Linked DNA regions of Sus scrofa. The protein of the gene in region 1 interacts with the protein of each later gene in a pairwise test. Links are inferred from orthologs where the notes say so. Each region holds a gene or a part of one and is shown in the gene's direction. Other genes may lie near its edges.

Evidence for each region.
Region 2: the proteins of BCL11A (region 1) and NR2E1 interact in a two-hybrid assay, tested with the Homo sapiens proteins (2 studies listed by BioGRID). The link is inferred for Sus scrofa from reciprocal best matches to the Homo sapiens genes BCL11A and NR2E1.

What each region holds. Positions count from the first base shown.
Region 1 is NC_010445.4:81,204,369-81,208,026, forward strand, and holds part of BCL11A (B-cell lymphoma/leukemia 11A), read left to right. Parts: intron 1-572; coding exon 573-902; intron 903-3,658. UniProt on the Homo sapiens protein: Transcription factor. Associated with the BAF SWI/SNF chromatin remodeling complex. Binds to the 5'-TGACCA-3' sequence motif in regulatory regions of target genes, including a distal promoter of the HBG1 hemoglobin subunit gamma-1 gene.
Region 2 is NC_010443.5:74,283,514-74,287,171, forward strand, and holds part of NR2E1 (nuclear receptor subfamily 2 group E member 1), read left to right. Parts: intron 1-1,945; coding exon 1,946-2,042; intron 2,043-2,428; coding exon 2,429-2,578; intron 2,579-2,833; coding exon 2,834-2,939; intron 2,940-3,658. UniProt on the Homo sapiens protein: Orphan receptor that binds DNA as a monomer to hormone response elements (HRE) containing an extended core motif half-site sequence 5'-AAGGTCA-3' in which the 5' flanking nucleotides participate in determining receptor specificity.

The sequences.
Region 1 (3,658 bases):
CTTTCTAATTTATGAAGCCATGTCTGTATACTTAGAGTATATACATTCACACACAAAGAATGTGTGTGTGTGTGTATTTATTCACCTCTCCTTTTATTCCCAGGCACAATAGACAACTTAGTCTATAGGAAGAAAGAAACAAATTTTGTTTTGATCCATGTTTTTACCAGTCTTTTGGGGGGGTCGTTATTATTTAAGCTTTTTTTATGTTTCTGCATTAACTATTTATTTAACAGTTACATTCTTTCTAAGCTCACAGGCCAGAACCTTGGGGGTGTGTGTGTGTGTGTGTGTGTGTGTGTGTGTGTGTGTGTCTGTGTTTGCTGGAAGTATGAAGGTCAGACAGTTTTCATAAATATATGATGGTTTGCCTCATTGATAAATTTGCTTTCTTGTTGACAATTTCCACATCCACGTACATTTTAGGTGTGCACTTTTTTCTGGGCATTAAATGGAGGAGCCTAGAAATCCTTTCATAATGTACTAGGATGGGATGGGGTGAAGAATGTACTTCCCCCTTTTCTCTCCTTTCTGGCACTCTAATAATTATGCTTTTGTTTCTTCAACCACAGCCGAACCTCTTGAAGCCATTCTTACAGATGATGAACCAGACCACGGCCCTTTGGGAGCTCCAGAAGGGGACCATGACCTCCTCACGTGTGGGCAGTGCCAGATGAACTTCCCATTGGGGGACATTCTTATTTTTATCGAGCACAAACGGAAACAATGCAATGGCAGCCTCTGCTTAGAAAAAGCTGTGGATAAGCCACCTTCCCCTTCACCAATCGAGATGAAAAAAGCATCCAATCCCGTGGAGGTTGGCATCCAGGTCACGCCAGAGGATGACGATTGTTTATCAACGTCATCTAGAGGAATTTGCCCCAAACAGGAACACATAGCAGGTAAATGAGAAGCAAGGAGAAAAGCTGTTTGCATGTTTTCTTTTCATTTTCAGAGGCGCTGTAGTCAAGCACTAAGGAGTGGTGAAGTGCTTTCTGTATTTCTCCATGTGACTGTCCGTGACAGCCCTGTAATGTTAAAATAATCATTCCTCTTGCTGATGTCCAGAACACACAAAAATAGATATTTTCCACTTCACTGAGTCAGATGTAGGCGGAATAGGTTACACACACCTGATACCCTCTCTCTGGATCTGCTGACTCTGAATTTCTTTCCTTTTCCTCTCCCCTTCTCATTTTTAAGTGTTGAACCTCACTATACCTCGACCAGTTTCCAAGGTCCATTTCCAGTTGTGGTGGCAAGTCAGAGGCAAAGTGGCTGTCTAGGCATTTGTAGTTCAGCCAGTGACCTGTTTGAGTCAGAAGACCTGGTCAGGCCTCCCTAGGGGTGCAATTTGTTCTCAAATCTTCCGTGAAGTTGGGTGGGCTGGCGGGACGTTTTGGAGGGGTTGGAAAGAGTTAACTGAGCTTCAGGGCTAGCCTTGGATCCATATTGGCTGTCAGCCCGAATGGGGCTGTAATTAAACACAGCCCCGTGGTGGGATGACACCGTGACCTTGACTTTAAGATGCCATTTTCGACTGGCCAGGCCAGAGTAGAGAGGGCAGTTGCTGAAGCGCACAGACATGCTTACTCGAAAAGTTTAAGGGCATGTTGGAAATTTCAAAAGGTTGGTTTGACAGGAACGGCTGCTCCCTGCAGCCTGCCTCCTCAGCTAAATGATAAATGCTTCTCTGTGCTCTCTCTTGTCTCTGATGTGGTTTTGACAGATGTATCTTGATTTTGTTTGTGGTTTACACAACCACATGTCACCCTTACAAATGTCCAGTCCAGACTTCCACTGTTTCTGCTATACCACAATGTAAAAATTCTCTTGGAAAAATACATACACACATTCAACAGCTCGCCTTCCTTTGGTTAATTTTAGCAGAGAGGTAGTTAGGGGTGTGGGTTCTCAGCAGCTCAAGGGAAAAGGATTTAATGGCTAACAGAGGGACCTAAATCCCTACTCTAAGTGATAAACAGCAACACTATATAGTGACCCTTCAAACATTTTTTTTTTTTTGATGAAACAACAGTGATTTAACATGTAAGACAAAGTGGGTGGAGATCCTGTGGTGACAAAACCTGCATGCCTGTCAGTGGATCACTTCCCCCTATTTTCTCTGCCCCTACTCCTAGAAAGGCAGAAGGTTTGTCCAGTTTTAGGAAGGGTAGTGCCTGTAATTGTAATCAGTTGATTCCCTGGAACTTGTCCCTTCGACCTAGTTGAACCATAGTGGGTCAGTGGTCCAGAGGGGATTAAATGTCACATTTTTTCTCTCTCCCCCTCTGGAATTTGATCATTAAAATCAAACATGGCATTTCCTTCCTTCCTTCCTTTCTTCCTTCCTTCCTTCCTTCCTTCTTCCTGCCATGACACTCAGATACTTTTCCTCTAGGGAAATGAGAAATCTGCTACCAGGGAAGCTGCATTAACAAAATATTTTTCTTGAATCCACCACATGTAGCTTATATGACATGCAGGTTAGGATTTTATCCACCCCACGCCCACTCCCTGCAGCCCCTCTGCACGCCCCCCGCCCCGCCCATGGCAATGACCATCTCTCTGTGCTGTCTTGTGACTAGAAGGAAAATGAACAGAAGTATAAGGCATGATTAATGAAGCAAGAGCAAGCGGAAGGGGATTTGTCGTCTTCGGAGATCCAAAGCCTTTCTAAATCACCAAATATGGAGTAACACTTGCGTGATGTAACATCGTATTTACATATTGAGCTGCTTGTTTAAAAGACAAAACACAGTGTCTGTCAAGCAGGAATTAAAACCACACTTCTTACTGAGGTCCCAAATAGGTTATTCAGTTTCAGATTAACCAGCTTGAAAATTCTGTGCCTCTGTCCTTAGACGAGAAATCTAACAGCTGAGGGGAAGGCCCTATGGTGAAGGCTTTTTACTGTCACAGTTGTAAATATATGTAGAGAAAGAAGAGATATTTTCCTTAACTCTCTGCTTGTCATAAAGATTCCTTTTTTTTTTTTTTTTCCTAATGGACTAGTACAGTAGCAGAGCCCAAAGAAGCCCCCCTAAAAAGTACATTTAAAATATGTTTTATAGGGCTAATGCTAAGTAATTTCACTGAGATGAAAAGCTACGTAAGCTATCTGAGACAGTCAATGGGTGCACGGGTGCTGCGACCCAGGTGAGGTAAACCTTTCATGCACGAGTAATTACAAAGTCTTGATTCCTTTCATTGTGTTTAATCACCTATTCCCACCCTGGAATTGGCTGAACATAAATAGCATGGTCACATCTCAAAGCGAGATGTCAGTAACTAGAATCACGACTTCTCATAATTCACGGTAATGAATTAAGAGTTTCCTATGGTGAAATTAACATTCTACCATTGCACATAAATTAAGATGCCCTGGCTCTCAGGTGCCTCTGAAGCGAAGTTCTGAACGGCTGTGTACTCCCAGCCCATTTCTCTCGAGCACATCTTCACAATTCCAAGTCTGCTTTTCTTTTTATGGCGAGGAAGCAGACAATAAGAGTAATCATTCAGTAGATATTTGAATTGTATTGCGAAAGAAAGGAGAAGCACTGCTCTGGATTAGTAAAGAGATATATTGATGAACCTCTGGAAGAATATGTTTGGCAGCCATAGAAAAGGTAGTTATTTAAATGCGCTGTGGAGGAAA
Region 2 (3,658 bases), on another chromosome or scaffold:
AATGAGGAAATGATTTTTCTTAGCTTCTTGCTATGGGTTCAAAATATTTAACTATAGAATCCTTATTAAGAAATGTAATTATATTATGTCAGCAAAGTTGGATATGATCTACAAAAACAAATACACAAAAAGATCCTTATCTTTTTTTTATTTTAGTTGAAATGTCAAATTTAATCAAACATTTTTAAAAATCTAATGATTTCTAAAATTGTTAATAAAACAATGTTTTCTTATGAACACTGGAACTGAGAGAAACAGAAGGTGATGAGAGCATTCCCCTGTAAGATGTTATGAATTAGTCTCATTATTTTATATTCACAGCTTTATATTTTCCATTGTGATGCTTGGTTTTGGCCACTGATTTACCAGCATACAGAATTAAAGGGTGCATTGCACACCTCCCTTGATTCATTAAGTGCTTTGAGAGATTTTGTAAACAAGTAGGCCTGACACATAATCCTGTGGTTGTAAATGACATTAAGAGGGAGGAAAAAACTATGTGCCTTTAAAATTGCATCATATCAAAACTCAGAAATTTTGTTGTTAGGAATGTCAGAAGTGGCCTGTGCCAGAATTTTTCTACCCTTAAGGGAAAGAAAGAAAATGAAGTATTCACAACCATTGGCTATTACCAGTGCATTCGTGGAAATTAATGACAAATTTCCCAAAAGGCTAATAAGTAGTTCTAAAAGCAAAGGATTTGTTTCTTTAATTCATTTTATACCTAATTAAAGCATAATAGTGCCCCTTAATATGAAGTACGTTTCCTACAGAGAGACCTGGCAATGTGCTCAAAACATTTAATCTCCTAGCATGGATGTTCTTTTTTTCATGGCCTGGACTTTCAGACATGGTCAGAATTAGACATTGTTTACCTTGCATTTTTAAAGTATTATTTTCTGTACTTAATACAATGAAACTAAAAATAAAACATTTTGAAAATTAAACCTTTTGGTCTGATTGTGATTTTGGTTACAAGCCTTCACAATTCAGTCCTCTCAAAAGAAAATCCTATCACAAAAATCATCCAGAATTGACTGGTTTTTTGAGAGATTTTTCAAAAACAGATTTTTCAGGATGGTTAATTTCTATCTTTGACTAGTTTTACTGGTTGCCCTGGGCCATTTGCTCTGTGTGTGTGTATGTGTGTAAGTTGGCTATTTTTTCTCAAAACTAGTATTTGTAGACTCTGTAATCCAAACAAAATTTACTTACTGTCTGCCACTTAGCCCTTCAGTGGAAACCCTTCAGTAACAAGCAAACTGCAGTGAAGTAGAATCCAGTATATTAATTCGGAAAAGGAGCCAGATTTTCATTTTACATATTCAGTAGCACATTTTAATAGAATGAAAATGACAAGCACCTTGATGCTGTCCACTTATGAGTCTCAAAAATCAGGCAGTAAGATGAGGTAAACTCAGTAAAACCCGATTAACATAATTACACCCTGATTTCCCTGCATGTCTCTTGGGAATTAGTGATCTCTTTCTTTCTCTCCCAGCCCAGCCCCCTCAACCTTCCAGGAAGATAGGGGCCCAGATCTGCATGCTTAGCCTGGAAGCCTCAACCCTGATAATATCAACATTTTCTATGAGGGAAATCCACCTGCTGAGCTGTTGGTAGCATTTCATAAGAGCCTAGGTCTCCCTGGAAGTTTCTAGGTGGTCAGGAACAAATGGATGCAAGGACAACAAGGGTAAACCTTCTTCCAAGGGAAGCAAAATTTGGGGAATTAGAGTGACTCTCAAATGTGTGTGCTTAAGTATAGGCACCTTTTCAAAAAGGAAAATACGGGGAAATAAGGGGAAGCTAGAATATTCAGAGGAAAAACTAACAAGACAGGCATTTAAAACACTTTTTAAAATAATGGAAATTTACATATTGAAATTGTTTATAAATTTATAAATTACACACTATATTATATTATACATCTATTGTATGACAGCTGATGCTTTTGGAAGATGCTTGGAGAGAACTGTTTGTTCTAGGAATAGCACAATGGGCCATTCCGGTTGATGCTAACACCCTACTGGCTGTATCTGGTAAGAATTGCACAATTTAATGACTTTGTTGTAGAAATTACCATAAAAATACATTACTGAAAAAAGAACAACATGTAAAGAATAACAAATTCCTGCTGAACAATAGAGTATACCTGTCATTTATAAATCTATATTTAAATGCAAATAATGTTGTTTTGTTGTATTCATGACTGCTTGCATTGTTATTTAAATGCAAATTACTGTGTTTGTTATCATCCAAGAGAAGATTTTATATTAACTTTCATACAATATAGCCAGTTTACATGGAATCAGATATCTTAGAGTGACAATTGAATAGATATTGATATGCAGAATTTTGTCAAAAATCAATATTAAATCATGAAAATCCCTTCATGTTGAGCATTTATTCCATATTTTTATTCTAGGCATGAATGGTGACAACACAGATTCCCAGAAGCTGAACAAGATCATATCTGAAATACAGGCTTTACAAGAGGTGGTGGCTCGGTTTAGACAGCTCCGGTTAGACGCTACTGAATTTGCCTGTCTAAAATGCATCGTCACTTTCAAAGCTGGTAAGCAGACACAAACTGCTGTTTCTTCTTCCCCTGTTTTGCCACCTAATTCAGCCACCTCCAAGTCCAGACTGACCCCTGGCAAAAAGAGGTGATGGTTTTCAAGAAAGCTGATACTCTTAGTCTGGCTTCTCCATTTCCAATAGCCACGGGGACCTGCACATTCTCCTGCTGGCCATCCACTTCCAGAGAGTGCTTTCCCCATCTGCATTTCCTGTGTGCTGCCTATCATAGTTTCCTGGTCTTCATTTCTAGTTCCTACACACAGTGGTTCTGAACTGAGAAGTTTCCGGAATGCTGCCGCCATCGCAGCCCTTCAAGATGAGGCTCAGCTAACTCTCAACAGCTACATCCACACCAGGTGACCCTTGTTTGCCTTGAACATGTACTTAAGAAAATTGCTTCCGCTGTGAATGCATGAGCAGGCAGTAAAAAGCCAGTTCAAGCATTGTGACTGATGATCCTGTTGCCAGCCAGTTAATTTAGTTAGAATCTATGTCCTCACCTATTTCGAAGGGTTGGTAAGAGGAGTAAATAAAATTAGATTATCACAGTGAAAGCACTGACAGACCCCTTCCAGCTGTCCTGGATGAACAAGTTGATCCATCAAAATAGCTGTACACATTTAGGTGAATGGACTCAGATATGAAAAAGGTGAAAAATGAGGGCTAAAGTGGTATGTTAGTTGATATATTAGAGTGATCACATGATCCTTTGGTAAGGGCAAGTAGCTTTCTTTAATGCCAATCCCAAGTAGAAGGATCAGAGAATTTTCTAAAGAGGTCGTCTTTAACCCCATCATGACTGCTGTCTGGCTTTGGTGATTGGTATCTGTTGAACCATTTTGAATCATAGCATCCACCAGGTTACTTCTGGCCAAGCAAGGCCCACTGGCAGGAGCTGTTCTTGGCTATTTGTAGAAACTCTCAGTCACTGGGTTCTAGCAGTGCTCCTCCTGGCCCACCAAATGGGCAAATCCACCATAAGGTAGACTTTCTGATTCCATTTTCAAATGAAAAAGGCAAGCATTTAAAGAACAGTAGAGGAGTTCCTTTTGTGGTGCAGAGGAAATGAATCCGA